2 linked regions of the Elephas maximus indicus genome follow. The protein of the gene in region 2 purifies or fractionates together with the protein of the main gene of each other region. This does not show direct contact. Links are inferred from orthologs where the notes say so. Each region holds a gene or a part of one and is shown on either strand. Other genes may lie near its edges. The genes, in order: PJA2 and MOB1A.

The links.
Region 1: the proteins of MOB1A (region 2) and PJA2 purify together in Homo sapiens (affinity purification with western blotting; 3 studies listed by BioGRID). This does not show direct contact. The link is inferred for Elephas maximus indicus from reciprocal best matches to the Homo sapiens genes MOB1A and PJA2.

Annotation. Positions count from the first base shown.
Region 1 is NC_064820.1:118,560,158-118,568,471, forward strand, and holds the start of PJA2 (E3 ubiquitin-protein ligase Praja-2), read right to left. Parts: upstream 3,379-8,314; 5' UTR 3,270-3,378; intron 1-3,269.
Region 2 is NC_064835.1:61,694,022-61,701,967, reverse strand, and holds the start of MOB1A (MOB kinase activator 1A), read right to left. Parts: upstream 3,211-7,946; 5' UTR 3,019-3,210; coding exon 3,005-3,018; intron 1-3,004. UniProt on the Homo sapiens protein: Activator of LATS1/2 in the Hippo signaling pathway which plays a pivotal role in organ size control and tumor suppression by restricting proliferation and promoting apoptosis.

The sequences.
Region 1 (8,314 bases), on a different chromosome or scaffold from region 2:
GGGTAGAAGGGAACTTTTGAGAATGATGGAAATATTCTATATTTTCATTGTGATGATGAAAATATTTTTCTTTTGATGGTGGTGGTAGTGATGTGTGTACACATTAGTCAAAACACAATGAACTGTGTATTTTAAATGGGTGTATACTTTTTATTATATGTTAATTATCCTCAATAAAATTGATTATTTTAAAAAAGGTGCTTTCTTAGGAAAATATTAACCAGGGAATATTTGGTGATGCCTTATATAACTACTTCAAAAGATATCAAAAAACATCTAATAAAATTCAATACCCAATTGTGGTTTTAAAAATGTCAACAGAAATGAAATAACAACAATAAAATCCTTTTGGAAAGCCAAGAATAGGAAGAGATATTATCACCTAATATCAGCTGACCTGACGGCACTGGGTTAATATCAGCTATTTCTCAGAAAGCTTCCAAAAATATTATAATTTATACTAAAAAATTAGAAACATTCTCCTTAAAGCCAGAAATACACCAAGTTTCTAGTGATTACTGCTATTATGCAACATTATACAGTATGTATAATAGCCAAAACAATGAGAGAGAAAAACGATTGATTTATAAAAACTGAAAAGGAAACCACAAAACTGAATATTTTCAGGTAAACATCAACTCAATGAAGTGATGAGAAACACGATAACAGAAAATTCGAAAGCTTTCCTATAACTGGAACAAAAACAAAGAGAATATGTTGCTGCAAAGTTTACATCTACCACAGCAATCAAACCATGAAATAGCTAAGAATACTAAAAGAAGGAATATCATATATATACATACACATATGAACAAAACAAAACAAACTATAAAACCTTCCCTAAGAACATAAAGACCTCACTAAAAGACACACCACTTCCCATACAATAAAGGTAAGCTATCTCCAAAGTAATCTAAAATTTCAATATGAAACCATTCAAAATCACCAAGGACTTTTTTAAGGAACCCTGGGGGTGCTAACCAAGAGGCTGGAGGTTTGAACCCACCAGCCAGCCACTCTGCAGGGGAAAGATGTATGATTACAGCCTTGTAAATCCTATGGGGCAGTTCTACTCTGTCCTATATGGTCACTATGAGTCAGAAACAGCTTGACGGTAAAGGGTAAGGATTTTTTATTTTACAGGTTGAGTCTAAAGTTCATCTGAAGGAGGAAATACATTAAAAAAAAAAAAAAACAGTTGAGAATATTTCTGAAAAAAGTATTGAGGGAGAAATTACCAAAATTTAAAATATGGATACACTTTTTTTTTTAAACCTAGTAATTACATTTCTAGGAATCCACCCTTCAGAAATAATCACACACAGAAGTTGTTTACGAAATTGTTAATGATGACTGGGATGAAAGCAAGTTAACAGTGATTCTTAGGATGAAGGTAGGACTAAAAGGGCAAGTGGGAATTGTACTTTTTTATCTTATATTCGAGTTTTTTTTCTGGGATCTTATATTCTTCCATACTATTTCAATTTTTAAACTCAAGTACAATTTTAAAGTTTATAGTTAAAAATAAATCAATAAATTAAAAACTTGGTTGCACAGAAAGCATTACTTGTGACAGCAAAAAAGCTGCAATTAATTTAAATATCTATCAATAAAGGGGAAATCCTGGTGGCCTAGTGGTTATGAGTTATGGTTGCTAACCAAAAAGTCAGCAGTTTGAATCCACCAGGTGCTCCTTGGAAACTCTATGGGACAGTTTTACTCCGTCCTAAAAGGTCGCTATGAGTCAAAATAGACTAGACGGCATTTTTTTTTTTTTCTTGATCAATAAAGGAATGATTAAATTAATGAAATACCACTTAACCCTTAAAAAATATTAGGTAGACCTATATATAACAGGGAAAGTTTCCCAGATGGATAATTAAATGAAAAAGCAAGTGATATGTTAATGTGTTTGGTACAATCTTCCCCACCCACCCCCGCCCAAACTGGGTGTGTGTGTGTGTGTAAAAGTGCATGTGTAAAAGGATTTTAAAAGATGCATACTAAATTGTTAACTCTAGATACTGGAGAGGGACTAGGAGATGAAGAGAAATTTTCACATTTTACCTAATAGTCTTTTCAAATATACTGTTTGAATTTTACACCAAGCTTGCATGCCTGTAATTAAGTAAAAAATCAAAGTTATTTCATTAAAAATCACATGAATTCCAGAAGACAACTACAAAGTTGAAAAAACAGTTTAATCGTTTATTTCCGTTATCTTCGGGTATATTTACATATTCTTCAAATGATCTGTAGTCTTCAGCAAAGGTGACTGCCGTTTTAAAGAAATTTAACTGATCAATATTTCATGATAAAAATAACAGATATATATATGAAACTTTAAAAAATGTGTAACTTCACAGAACCAGAACAGGCTCAAAGCAGTGTCTACGCAGATGTATTTTTTAATGCGTGGAAAGTCTACAAACAGATTATTCTTCCTCCCTGCAAAAAGACTATTTATTACCTCCTCCCCTTTTCTTCAACTTGGTCTGAGCGGCTTTAAACTCACCGTTCTGAATGTGCGCAAAATGATTACCAAACAGTAATCTTAGGGAGGCCGAAGCTGAAGGTGCATAGGCCTTCAATCAAGGCGTGCTTTGATCTGACATCGCCAACAGGGAGAAGCGGTGATGGAATGGTGGGTGCTAATACCGGGAGAAAAACGACAGCTGTGGTTTGTGCAGGGTATCTGCGTGCCCGAGTTCGCTGACAACCGGGAAAAATGGTAATACACCCACCAGAGCAGCGGTAACGGAAGGCTTTTCGGCGGGAGGGGGGGTGCAGGCCTGTGGCGTAAGATGGATAAGCTCCATGCCAGATGACTGGAGATGGGCAGAGAAGACGGCTGTGGGGTGTTAGTGGGGGACACACTCCTAGACAGCCGCAAATGTGGGGAGAAAGGCTGTGGTGCGGGGTCCTTAGCCAAAGCACCAAGGACAGCAGAAGAGGCAGCAGGAAAAGGAGGGCAGCGGAGCCCCCCGATACCAATCGACGGCATCCTCAGGGAAGTCAGCAGGCGCAGCGGCCACGGACACGAATGTGGCCCGAGGTCCATGCTGGGCACGGCCCAGGAGGCGAAGAAGGCCTCTTACAACCATCAACCCCACCCACCATGGCCGGCGCAGCGGACCAGGAACAGGCCCCGCTCCTTCTTGAGGGGAGAAACTAACAAATCGAGGAACTGAAGCAGCAATTTCCTCGCCCCGATCCCTCGCACTCCCGACATCATAACAGGCCAGTTAAAAAAAAAAAAATCCCCTCACCGAATGTGCAGCGGCTCCGGAGCGAGAACAGCGCTCGATCCTCCACCCGCCACCACCGCCTTCTTCTCCGCCTCCGACTCCTCCCCCGCGGAACGCGCAGGGGCTGGCGGCGGCAGCGGCGGCGGAAGCAGAGGCGGTGGCAGCGCGTCCCGCCCCTTGCGCCGCGGCAGAGGCGAAGGATAGAAATAAAGCCCCGCCCCCAAAACAGCTCTGACCAATAGATTGAAAGGATTTCTGCAGGGGCAGTCTAAATATCCACTGACAATCTGAGGAGTGGGCTCACGTCAATGGTTGGGACGTGGCAGAAAAAGAGAAAACACTTGGACTACTTCTACGACCGGCTCCCCATTCCTCCTTCAGGAGGACGTCACCGATTGGGCGAAGAGCGGAAAGACGCAGCCCGACTCCGCCCCCGTCCGAGGCAGCCTTCTTTCCCTGCAGTACTGCGACGTTTGGGGAGGGGGCGGGGCACCAGTCTCGGTCTGGAACAGCAGGCCTTTTGTGGTTTGGCTGGGGGAAAAAGGGCGGGGTCTCAGGGAAAGGGAAGTAGCCGTGAACTGAGAAGGTCTGGCGCAGCTAGACTTTTCAGGATTACAACAGCAGCTACCAAAATGGAGCATTGCAGTCGTTCCTGATTCAGCGGGAAATCTAACCAGGTTATGGTCTCCTGGCATAATGAAAGTTCATTCCGTTGCTGTTCATACTTGTGGGAGAAGAAAAAATAGCAGACGTAAGAAGAGCACGCTTGCCCATCTTGACTGCGCACTACACAGTGCCTTCTATCCACCCACCGCAGTCAGTTCTCTCCCCGCTTCCCATTTCTGATTGTACTGGAATGGGGCGGTGTACAAGGAGGCCTTTCCCCTTTATAGCCAAGGCCTGACCAGAGCTTCCCAGATTGCATCTTGAGGCTGATCGGTTGTCAAGCCGAGAAGTAACCGCTCCCATCACAAGCAACCAAAATAAATATAACAGCTGTAGTCCCTGGACATCTTGCTTAATTTAAACCCGGGTAACTGTTTAGTTAATTATGTCAGTGATAAAAAATTGTTTTTTTCGTTCTGCACGTGTCCTCTTTTTTCATCCTGAATATGCCTGCTTCTCTGATTACAATCCCACTCTACTCCCATCTCATGCCCCAGCCCCTCCCCCAACGCCTGGTGACAAAATATGTTTATTGTCCCCACCGCCCTGAATGAAGACCTCCACTTCTTGTACTGTCCCCTGGCAACTACAAATTCTGCCAGCTAACTCAAACTGTTAATTTTTCTGCTATTGACGGAAACGAACTATCCAAAATTTACTATAGAAACCCAGATGATGAGAATTTGCTAGACACTTCGTAAAACCAAGTCTAATTTTCAGCCCACCCCTGTAGGACATTTCTTACTGGGGAGGACAGTTCCCACTTGACATTTCTCTACCTTTACGCGTGTTGCTCTAGAAGTTCTGGTTTTCTTTGCATCCAAGACCCTCCCTCTTTGAAAGAGAATTGGTACTTTTCTGGCGTGTTTCTAATTTCCCATTAGAATATTGCTAAGATTGTATACACTAACCTGTTGCAGCTCCTGGATAGTGCAAATGGTTAACCTTCCGGAAAGGTTGGCAATCCAAACCATCCAGAGGCAACTCGAAAGACAGGCCTGGCGCTCTGCGTCTGAAAGATCACAGACTTGGAAATCCTATGGCATTTTCTACTCTGCACACATGGGGTTACCATCAGTCAGAATCAGCAGCTAATAATAACAACGACAACCTGTTCTGGCACAGTTTCCCAAATTTCAGTCTCTTTCATGCCATATCTGTGTATACTATATGCAGTAATTATTATTTTTAAAACAAATGTACTTTTTCTCACATTTTTTAAGAGGAAAACTTTATAAAAGTACTGCTAAAAGAAAACTAGCATCACTATCCTAAGGTGAAAGTAACTAAGTAAACATAATGTTTTTAAATTCTGGCTGAAAACTATTGCCTACTAAAAGGTTCTAGAAGCCTACTCACTGTGTTAAAAGGAGAGGTTACCAAGCATTAGACATACATTAAAGATATAGTGCTTAAATGACATTTTCATCATGATGTAATCCAAACAATAGTAGCAAAGTAGGAATCACTTTCTCACTGAGTTATTATTTTGAATCTTGTATGTGTGTCCCAACTAAAGTCATCTGAGGCATCATAAGTGATCTGTTATTTGGGGGGAAACAGCACTGTGGAGGCTTACAAGCAATGTACTCTGGGATCAAGCAGATCACACTCTCATTGTACTCCTTATGTGCATAGCTGTGTGCTTCTGGGAACTCTACTTACCTCTCAACCTCAATTTCTCATTAAATATGGGGAAAGTAGCAATGCTTACTTATGGGGTTTTTATGTAGATTAAACAACCTAATCTATGTAAGGCAAATTATGCTTACCTTTTTTTTTTTTGTTGCCATCTAGCTGATTCTGACTCACAGCGACCAACAGGACGGAGTAGAACTACCCCATAGAGTTTCCAAGGTAAAATTAACTTGAGCACAACAGAGTTTTTAATGATTAGTCTCTACAGAAGCAGACTACCACATCTTTCTCCCATAAAGTGGCTGGTGGGTTCAAACTGCTGACCTTTCGTGTAGTAGCTGAATGCTTAACTACTCAGCCACTAGGGCTCCTTGTATTATGCTTAAAACCAACCCTGCAACCATCCAATCCATTCTAACTCATAGCAGTTCTACAGGACAGAGTAGAACTGCCATATAGGGTTTCCAAGGAATGGCTAGTGGATTTAAACTGCCAACCTTTTGGTTAGCAGCCAAGCTCTTGACCACTGTGCCACCAGGGTTCCATATTATGATTTAAAAACAAAGAAACAAACAAACCTGTTGCCGTCGAGTCAATTCCAACTCATTGCCACCCTATAGAATAGAGTAGAACTGCCCCATAGGGTTTCTAAGAAGCACCTGGTGGATTTGAACTGCTGACCTTTTGGTTAACAGCCGTAGCTCTTAACCACTACATCCCCAGGGTTTCCGATTAGTATGTGGTAAATACTAAATACATATTATTGTTTTGTTGTTCTTAGGTGACATTGAGTTAGTTCCAACTCATAGAAACACTGTGTACAACAGAAGGAAACACAGCTGGTCCTGCGCCTTCCCCACAAACATTATTATGCTTGAGCCCATTGATGCAGACACTGTGTCAATTCAGTACATTGAGGGTATTCCTATTTTTTGCTGACTCTCTACTTTACTAAGCAAGATGTTCTTCTCCAGGGACTGATCCCTCCTGAAACATGTCCAAAGTACTTGAGACAAGTCTCGCCATCCTTGCTTCCAAGGAGCATGCTGGCTATACTTCTTCCAACACAGATTCATTCATTCTTCTGGCAGTCTATGGTATATTCTATATTCTTCACCAACATCATAATTCAAAGGCATCAATTCTTTTTCAGTCTTCCTTATTCATTGTCCAGCTTTTGCATGCATATGAGGTGATTGAAAACATCATGGCCTGGTTCAGGCACAGCTTTGCCCTCAGAGTGACATCTTTGCTTTTCAACAGAGTAAAGAGGAATTTTGCTGCAGATTTGCCCAGTTCAGTACATCATTTGAGCCCTGGGGACATAGTGGTTAAAAGCTCGGCAGCTAACCAAAAGATCGGCAGTTCAAATTCCTAATTGGAGGCAGTTCTACGTTGTCCTGTAGGGCCACTATCAGTTGCAACGAACTTGATTTTTGGCACTTAACAACAACAACATACATGTGGACCTCACTGATGAAAAACATGGGAATCAAATCTACTACATCTATGGAAAGAGACAATGGAAAAGCATAATATCATCAGTCAAAACAAGGTCAGGGGCTGACTGTGGAACAGGCTGTCAATTGTTCATATGCAAGTTCAAATTGAAGCTGAAGAAAATTAAAACAAGTCCATGGGAGCCAAAGTACAACCTTGAGTGTATTCCACCTGAATTTGGAGACCATCTCAATTAATAGATTTGATGCACTGAACATTAATGACCGAAGACCAGACGAGTTGTAGGAAGACATCAAGATCATAAATGAAGACAGCAAAAGATCATTAAAAAAAAAAAAAAAAAACAGGAAAGAAAGAAAAGACTGCAATGGATGTCAGAAGAGACTCTGTAACTTGCTCGTCAACATAGAGTAGCTAAAGCGAATGGAAGAAATGGTGAAATAAAAGCTGAACAGAAGATTTCAAAGGGCCATTCAAGAAGACATAGTAAAGTATTATAATGAAAAATGCAAAGACCTGGAGATAGAAAACCAAAAGGGAAGAACACACTCAGTATTTCTCAAGCTAAAAGAACTGAAGAAAAAATTCAAAACTTGAGTTGCAATTTTGAAGAATTCTACAGGCAAAACATTGAATGATGCAGAAAGCATCAAAAGCAGATGGACACTAATTAGATAGTAGACAAGAATCATCTTAGGTGAAAGAAAGGACAACACATAGTATAGGGGAAGTCAGCACAACTGGACTAAACCAAAACTAAGAAGTTTCCTGAACACAATCAAACACTTCGAGGGACAGAGTAGCAGGGGCTAAGATCTGGGGACCATGGTGCCAGGGGATATCTACGTTATTGGCATAACAAAGTTTATTAAGAAAATGTTCTGGATCCCACTTTGGTAAGTGTCATCTGGGGTCTTAAAAGCTTGTGAGCAGCCATCTAAGATGCATCAATTAGTCCCAGCCCACGTGGAGCAAAGGAAAATGAAGAACATCAAAGGCACAAGGAACGTATCAGCCCAAGATACAAAAGAGCCACATAAACCAGAAACTCCATCAACCTGACTCTGACCAATGACAGCCCTGACAGAGATCACAACAGAGGGTCCCTGATGGAGCAAGAGAAAAGTGTGGTGCAGAATTCAAATTCACATAAAAAGACCAGACTTAATGGTCTGACTGAAACTGGAGGAACTCTTGAAGCCATGCCTACTGAATGCTGTGTTAACCCAGAACTAAAAACATTCCCAAAGCCTGCTCTTCAGACAAAGATTAGACTAGAGTATAAAACGTAATACTTGTGA
Region 2 (7,946 bases):
AGGAGTATTATTCAGCAATAAAAAAGAAATGAGCTATCAAGACTCAAAGACATGGCCGAGCCTTAAATGCATATTGCTAAGTGAGAAGCCAGTGAAAAAGCTATGTACTGTATGATTCCAACAATATGACATTCTAGAAAAGGCGGACTATCGACAATAAAAAGATCAGTGGTTGCCAGGGGCTTGGGGAGGGAGAGAAGGATGCACAATGAAGCACAGAACATTTTAAGGGCAGCAAAACTGGTAAGCATGATACTATACGGTGGATACATGATATTATGCATTTGTCAAAACTCAGAGGACTGTACAACACAAAGACTGAACCTAATCCAAACTACGGAGTTTAGTTAATAATAATGTAGCGATACTCCTTCATCAATTGTAACAAATGTACCACACAAAGGCAAGTCATTAATAACAGGAGAAACTGTGTATTCAGGGGAGAGGGAATATTATGGGAACTCTCTGTACTATCTGTGCAATTTTTTTTTTTAACCTAAAACTTATCCAAAAAAAAAATAAAGTGCATTTTTTTTTGGATGAGTTTTAGGTTTACAAAAAAAATACAGTACATTTTTTTTAATGGGCAAAGGATTTGAAGACATTTCTCCTAAGAAGATACACAAATGGCCAATAGGCACATGAAAAGATGCTCAACATTATTAGACATTAGAAAAATGCAAATCAAAACTACCATGAAATAACATTTCACACCCACTATGATGGCTTTGGAAACCCCGGTGGCGTAGTGGTTAAGTGCTAAGGCTGCTAGCCAAAGGGTCAGCAGTTCGAATCTACCAGGTGCTCCTTGGAAACTCTATGGGGCAGTTCTACTCTGTCCTATAGGGTCGCTATGAGTTGGAATTGACTCGACGGCACTGGGTTTGGTTTTTTGTTTTATGATGGCTTTAATAAAAAAAGACAATATAACAAGTGTGGATGAGGATGTGAAGAAATTGGGACCCTCGTACATAGCTGATGGGAATGTAAAATGGTATACTCAATTTGAAATACAGTTTGGCAGCTCCTCAAAAGATTAACATAGTTACAATATGACCTAGCAATTCCACTCCCAGGTCTATACCCCAGAGAAATGAACACATGTTCACACAAACACCTGTACGTGAATGTCTACAGCAGCCTAAATCACAATAGCCAAAAAGGAGGAACAACCCAAATACCCATTAACGGATGAATGGATATAAACAAAATGTGGTATATCCATACAATGGAATATTATTCACCCATAAAAAAGAGTGAAGTACCGATACAGGCTACAACACAGATCCCAGATGCCGACTCAAGGTGACCTTAGAGGACAGAGTAGAGCTGCCTCACAGGGTTTCCTAGTAGCGCCTGGACAAACCTTGAAAACATTATGCTAAGTGTTTTGTATGATTATATGATGCCACTGACGGGAAATGGCCAGTTAGGCAAATCCCTGGTGGCATAGTGGTTAAGAGCTCAGGCTGCTAACCAAAAGGCCAGCAGTTCAAATCCACCAGGTGCTCCGTGGAAACTCCATGGGGCAGTACTACTTTGTCCTGTGGGGTTGCTATGAGTCGGAATCCACTGAACAGCAATGGGTTTGGGTTTTTTTTTTTGGTATAGGAACAGAGAGCAGACTAGTGGTCTACTTCCAGGGGAATGGAGAGTAAATGCTAATGGGTATGGGATTTTGGGGGGGGGGGTGATGAGAAATGTTCTAGAATTAGATAGTGGTGATGACTGCACAATTCTATGAATATATTAAAAACCACTGAATTGTACACTTCAGAAGAATGACTTTTATAGGTATATCCACGAACAAACCATTAACAGTAACTCATAGGAAAAAGACAGTGGGGAGCAGTTACTGTCCTAGTAACATGGAAATTTGTAATTAAAACCTAAATCATTCACACTTTGACATGGTAATCATACTTTGGAAACTACGCCTTTAATAACCCAAATGAGGGAAAATGCAATTTGGACAAAGGTAGTCTTAGGAGTGCTATTTTATAATAGCAAAATAATAGAATCCAAATTTCTCACAATAAAGAACTGGTTAAATAAACGCTAGTATAGTAATCTTGAAGCCCTGGTGGCGCAGCGGTTTAGAGCTCCCTGGAAACCCTATGGGGCAGTTCTACTCTGTCCTATAAGATCCCTATGAGTCGGAATCGACTCAACGGCAAGGGGTTTGGTTTTTATAGTATTCTTATGAAACACTGCGTAATAAAAATGACAAGAACGTGAATTAACGTCCATAACTAAATGGATATTTATTTAACCATATATCGTAAACAATAATACAACGTAGAGAGTGTCCCCAGAACAAAAAATTGGGTGCCAAAGCAATGCTTCTCAAACCTTTCTGTGCTTACGAATCATCAGAGAATTTACATACTTTTCCATTTTAACCTCATCTGGGCCAGTATCCCTAAAGTGAGTTTCTACCAAGGAAAAAAGAAGTTAGTTAACTTATCCAAAGTCACTAAGTCAGTAAGGGGGCAGAACCAGAACCGGACAGCTCGGTCTGGCTGCAAGGCCTGCATTTTAAGTCCACGCTTCTCCACATTTTCCGGAGCCGGCACTTTTCCGTAGGGGTAATTTCAAATACCGACAATAATAAAACCGGATACATAATGGAGAAAAATCTAAGTTAGCATGGAATGTTTTCTGAAACTGGAAAGAAACATGAAGCCCGTGGCGCGGCCCGGGGCTCCGCCTTCGATGGTCTCTCCGCCCCCAGGAGCGCTCGGGCGGAAAAGTTTGGAGGCGCTACCGGCCTCGGGGCCTTTCGACTCCCCAACCTGCTCCCTCCGCTTCCTCTGCCTCGACCTTCACCTCCGTCAGCCTCCCTCCACGACCCAGCCCCCCAGCGGCCCCGAGCAGGGGCAGAACCAGGGCCGGCTACCCCGACCCCGGGGCCCGGACAGGGCCCGGCCCTCGCCTCCAGATCCCCAGCGCCCTCCCCGACCCGGGCCCTCGGCTCCGGCGCCCCCGGCCCGGCCCCACTCACAAGAGGAAGCTCATCTTCGGTCCTCAGAGGGGAGGGGAGGGGCCGCCGCCCCCCGCCGCAGACGGAACTCGGGGTCGGTGCAGGGACCGAGAGGAAGCGACGCTCCTTAGCCCGCGGACAGCAGAAGCCGGGCGGCCGCTGCTCCGAGCCGGGGGTCGAGCCGGTGCAACCCGCTGCGCCCACCTCACCCGTCTCCCCCGCTTCTTCGAGCCCAAATGCGGAACCAGCAAAATCTCGCGAGCTAAGGGCCTGTCCCGCCCCGCCCGCCGGTAAGGACGAGACGCATCCTTTAGCCACGCCCCTCCTAGAGCTCAGCCAATCAGGAGCCTCCAGGCAGGGACTTTCCTCCTCTCCTGCTCCGGTGGTGGTTACTGCGGTGTTCCGCTTAGGAGAGGTCAGCCATGCCTTTGGACCGGTTAGGTAGCGCTGGGTTCGGTCCTTACTATCTAGGTCGTATAGGGGGACTCTCTGAGAGCTGTCCATCCCTGCAATTTTTAAAATTTAATTTATTTTTATTAAGATGTAATTCACATGCTGTAAAATCCATCCTTCTAAAGTGCACAATTCGGTAGGGTTTTTTTTTTTGGTATATTCACAGTTATGCAACCATCGCCACTCTCTAATTCTAGAACATTTACATCACCCCAGAAAGAAGACCCGTCTCTATTAGCAGTCACTCTCCATTCTCCCCTCTTCCCACAACTCCTGGCAATCAGTAGTCTACTTTCTTTTTCTCTGGATTTGCCTAATCTGGATAAACCAAAAAAAAACCCAAACCCACTGCCGGGGAGTCGGTTCCGACTCATAGCGACCCTACAGCGACCCTGTAGGACGGAGTAGAACTGTCCCATAGAGTTTCCAAGGAGCACCTGGCGGATTTGAACTGCCAACCTCTTGGTTGTCAGCGGCAGCACTTAACCACTAGGCCACCAGGGTTTCCCCTAGTCTGGATATTTCGTATAAATGGAATCATACAATATGTAGTCTTTTGTGTCTGATTTCTTTCACTTAGCATAATGTTTCAAGATCCGTCTGTGTTGTAAACTATATTCCTACTTCATTCCTTTTTATGGATGAATAATATTTCACTGTAGAGGTATACCACATTTTGTTTAACCACTCATCAGTTGATGCCCGTCAGGCTGTTTCCATTTTTTGGCTATTATGACAAATGCTGCTGTGAACATTGCTGTACAGGTTTTTGTGTGGACAGTGTGTTCATTTCTCTTGGATATAGACCTAGGAGTGATAATTATGTCTAAATTTATTTCTAAAGTGAATAAACCTTTTGCATTTCCACCAGCAATATGTGAAGACTCCAACTGCTCCACATTGTCACCAACATTTGTTATTGTCTATCTTTTTGACTGGAGTCTTTTGGCACAGTTCTACTGACACATGGGGTAGCTATGAGTCAGAATCCACTTGATGGCAACAGCAGGTGTGAAGTGGTATCACATTGTAGGTTTGATGTTGAGCATCTTTTCATGTGCTCATTGGGCTTTCGTACCAATTTTTTTTTTAATCTTGCTTTAACATTACGCGAGGCCCCCAAAGGACCACCTAACAATGCAAAAAGCGGTTCTGACCCAATAAGAGTCTTCAGTCTCCATGATATTACCATCCTTCTGTTCTCAACACACATCAGTCCAGATTCTTCACCCTGCCCACCCTCCCACAAAAATTTTTCTCACCAAGGCCACCAGTGTCTCAGAATCTTAAAATATTCCATGGGCATTTTTCAGCCCTTATCTTACTGGAAGTTTCTTCAACATCAGCCTTTCCGTTCTATCTGACCCATCCTGCCAGACTCCTCATTTGATTACAATGATTTTATTTTTCAAGAACCTCTTTGTTACTCCCTTTAATCTGGCTTCTTCTATAAGGTGGGAGTGGGAACACAGAGAAGGAGGAAACTGTGGCCAGATGTGGGTAACTGTTAGGCTTCTTTTGGTAGCAAGTGACAGAAACCCACCCTGTTATTTCCATGCGACCTGTCTTATACTTTGTTTCCCACTAGACTGTGAATTCCTTGGAGGCAGAGACGTATCTTGTTCATTTGTCATCCCCAGTGCTCAGCACAGTACCACCACAAAGAAGTTACTTCACAAATGATTGTTAAATGAATGTGGACATAGACTTCACCTTTGAGGAATTTCCAGTTTAATAGAGGAGATTGACACAGGAATAAATGGTCATCAGTACAGTATTATCAGCAAAATGAAAGGTAATTTCATTTTAGGAAAAAAAAATTCCTTAAATTCTCGGCTTCTTATGACCTGCCCTTAACTTATTTTCTAGCTTCATTGTCCAGGGCTGTGCTCTTGGCAAACAATGCCTTGCTGTTTGCCACTAAGCCTTAAACCTACTTGAGTCCACGCTCCTGTGCTTATAATCCCTCCTGACTGGGATGACCAATAACCACATCCTACCCTGTCCTTCAGGACCCAGCCGGAAGTCATCTTTCCTTCCTCCAAACTTTGATAATGCTTTATCTGTATCGTTATTGCAATATATAATTATAGTTCAAGTTAAAAAGCAGTATTTACATGGTAAACAGCAATTGTGTTGGGTAGTAGGCCTTTGAGGGCTTATGTATTTATATTCTTTTCTACTTTTCTGCATATTCCGATTTTTCCCTAATAAGCAAATACTGGAAACCCTGGTGGCATAGCGGTTAAGAGTTCAGCTGCTAACCAAAAGTTCGGCAGTTGGAATACGCCCAGCCACTCTTTGGAAACCCTATGGGCAGTTCTACTCTGTCCTATAGGGTCGCTATGAGTCGGAATTGATTCAACGGCAACCGTTTTTTTTTTATGCAAATACTTTTTTAACCCTTTTTTTTTTGAAAGGGGAAGCAAGGTACAATAGTAGCTAAAAGCTCAGACTCTGGAGCTGTCTGAGTTGGAACCCTGCCAGTGCTTCCTAATAACATGTGACCTTGGATATTTTCATAACATTTTGCCTCAGTTTTCTGGTGTGTAAAATGGAGGTAATCTCATTGGGTTGTGAGGATTAAATGAGGTAAGGTACATTAAGCACTTAATGCCTGAAATATACACATCCTCAAGCAATATTTGCTGTTTAAAAGGTAAGAAATTTTGACATGTCTTACCAACTCTATTAGATGACCAGTTTTCTAAAAGTGGAATCTTTGACTTATTTATATTTTACATGTGCCTCGTGTGGGGCCTTGTACAGGGTAAGTATTCATCGAATACTTGCTAAATGAATGTGATTACATATTTGGCTAAATAGTTTTTAGGCTATTTTTTAACTGATGTAATCCCTGCATTTCAGCAGTTTTTGAGTTGCCTAGTAATTAGTTGCAGGTGTTTGCTCAGAGACTATGGGCATTCACTTTTTTTTGGCCTTTATCTTTCTCAGGTTTCCAGGTTTCCCAGTGGAGAACCATCTTTGCTCAGATGGCAGTGGAATTACCAGAAATGGAGTGCATATTTCTTGGGAAGGGCGGAGGTGCCTGGATCCTTCCTAAAACCAGTTCTACAAGGAGCCATGTGGGAAAACCACGGGGATATTATAGCACTAGGAGCCTGGAGTGAGAGCCACAAGGTAAATCCTATGCTAGTTCTGTATCCTTGGCTTCTGAGAAAGAATGTTGTTGGTTAGGTGCCATTGACTCCATTTAGACTCATAGTGACCCTATGCGACAAAGTAAAACTGCCCCATACTGTTTTCAAGACTGTGATCTTTATGGGAGCAGATCACCAGGTCACCAGGTCTTTCTCCTGTGGAGCCACTTAGTGGGTTCCAACTGCCAACCTTTCCAGCCGAGTACTTAACCATTGTGCCACCAGGATTTCTCCTGGAGAAAGAATGTGCTACTATAGAGCAGTGTTTTAAACTGGAAAGTACGTTTATGTGTATATTCTTGGATATGCACGTGCTTTCTGTGAGAAATTTTTACATGAGATTTTCAGTTTTTCGTACATACTTACTCAGACCAGTGCTGTCCAATAGAAATATAATGTGAGGCATTTAGGTAATTTAAAATATTCTAGTATAGGGTCGCTATAGGGTCACTGTGAGTTGGAATCAACTCGATGGCAACAGATTTTTTTGGTTTAATATAAATTTAAAAGAAATAAAAGCAAAAATCAACAAAAACAAAATTCCAAGTGGAATTAATTTTAAGAATATATTTTATTTAACCTAACACATCCAAAATAATATTATTTTAATATGAAAACAACTTTAAAATTTTTAATGAGGCAGTTTACTGTTTTTTCATTCTAAGACATAAAAATATGATAACCACGTTAGCAATATAGTCCACTTAGGGGTCAAAGGTAAGACTATTTCTCAGTCAAGACTAAAACCAAACCAAACCCATTGCTCTTGAGTGAATTCCGACTCAGAGCATCCCTATAGGACAGAGTAGAACTGCCCTGTATGGTTTCCAGGGAGCTCCTGGTGGATTCGAACTGCTGACCTTTTGGTTAGCAGCCATAGCTCTTAACCATTAAGCCACCAGGAAATTTCCGCTGGGGATAAAACCCAGAGGTTTGTGTTTAAAAGAAAAAAAAGGTGGATATTGCTGCAGGGCAATTTGTTCCCCACCAGACACAGTCTATAATGTACAAAGACTGGGGAGTTTTATTCCCTCCTTGGCTCAAGAGAGATTCCTGCACACCATCTGGACACAACAGATGCTAAAAGCAGAAATTATAAAGCTGCCAGCCCCGCCTCATCTGCACCTCCCCACACCCTCTCCCCTCCCCTCTCTGAGTTTCTATTCATCGTGCAGTTTCCCCTCCCAGCAGGATTTGCAACCTTACACTTTCATTCCTTGTAAATACCCTGTCCCATCATTTGCAAAACTCCAGCTTTATCATAATAACCTTCTAGAGGAGGGGACAATCCCACTTCAGTCATGGCAGGTCTCCTTCACCTCCCAGCCAGCCTCTGTCACAAGTGGGTG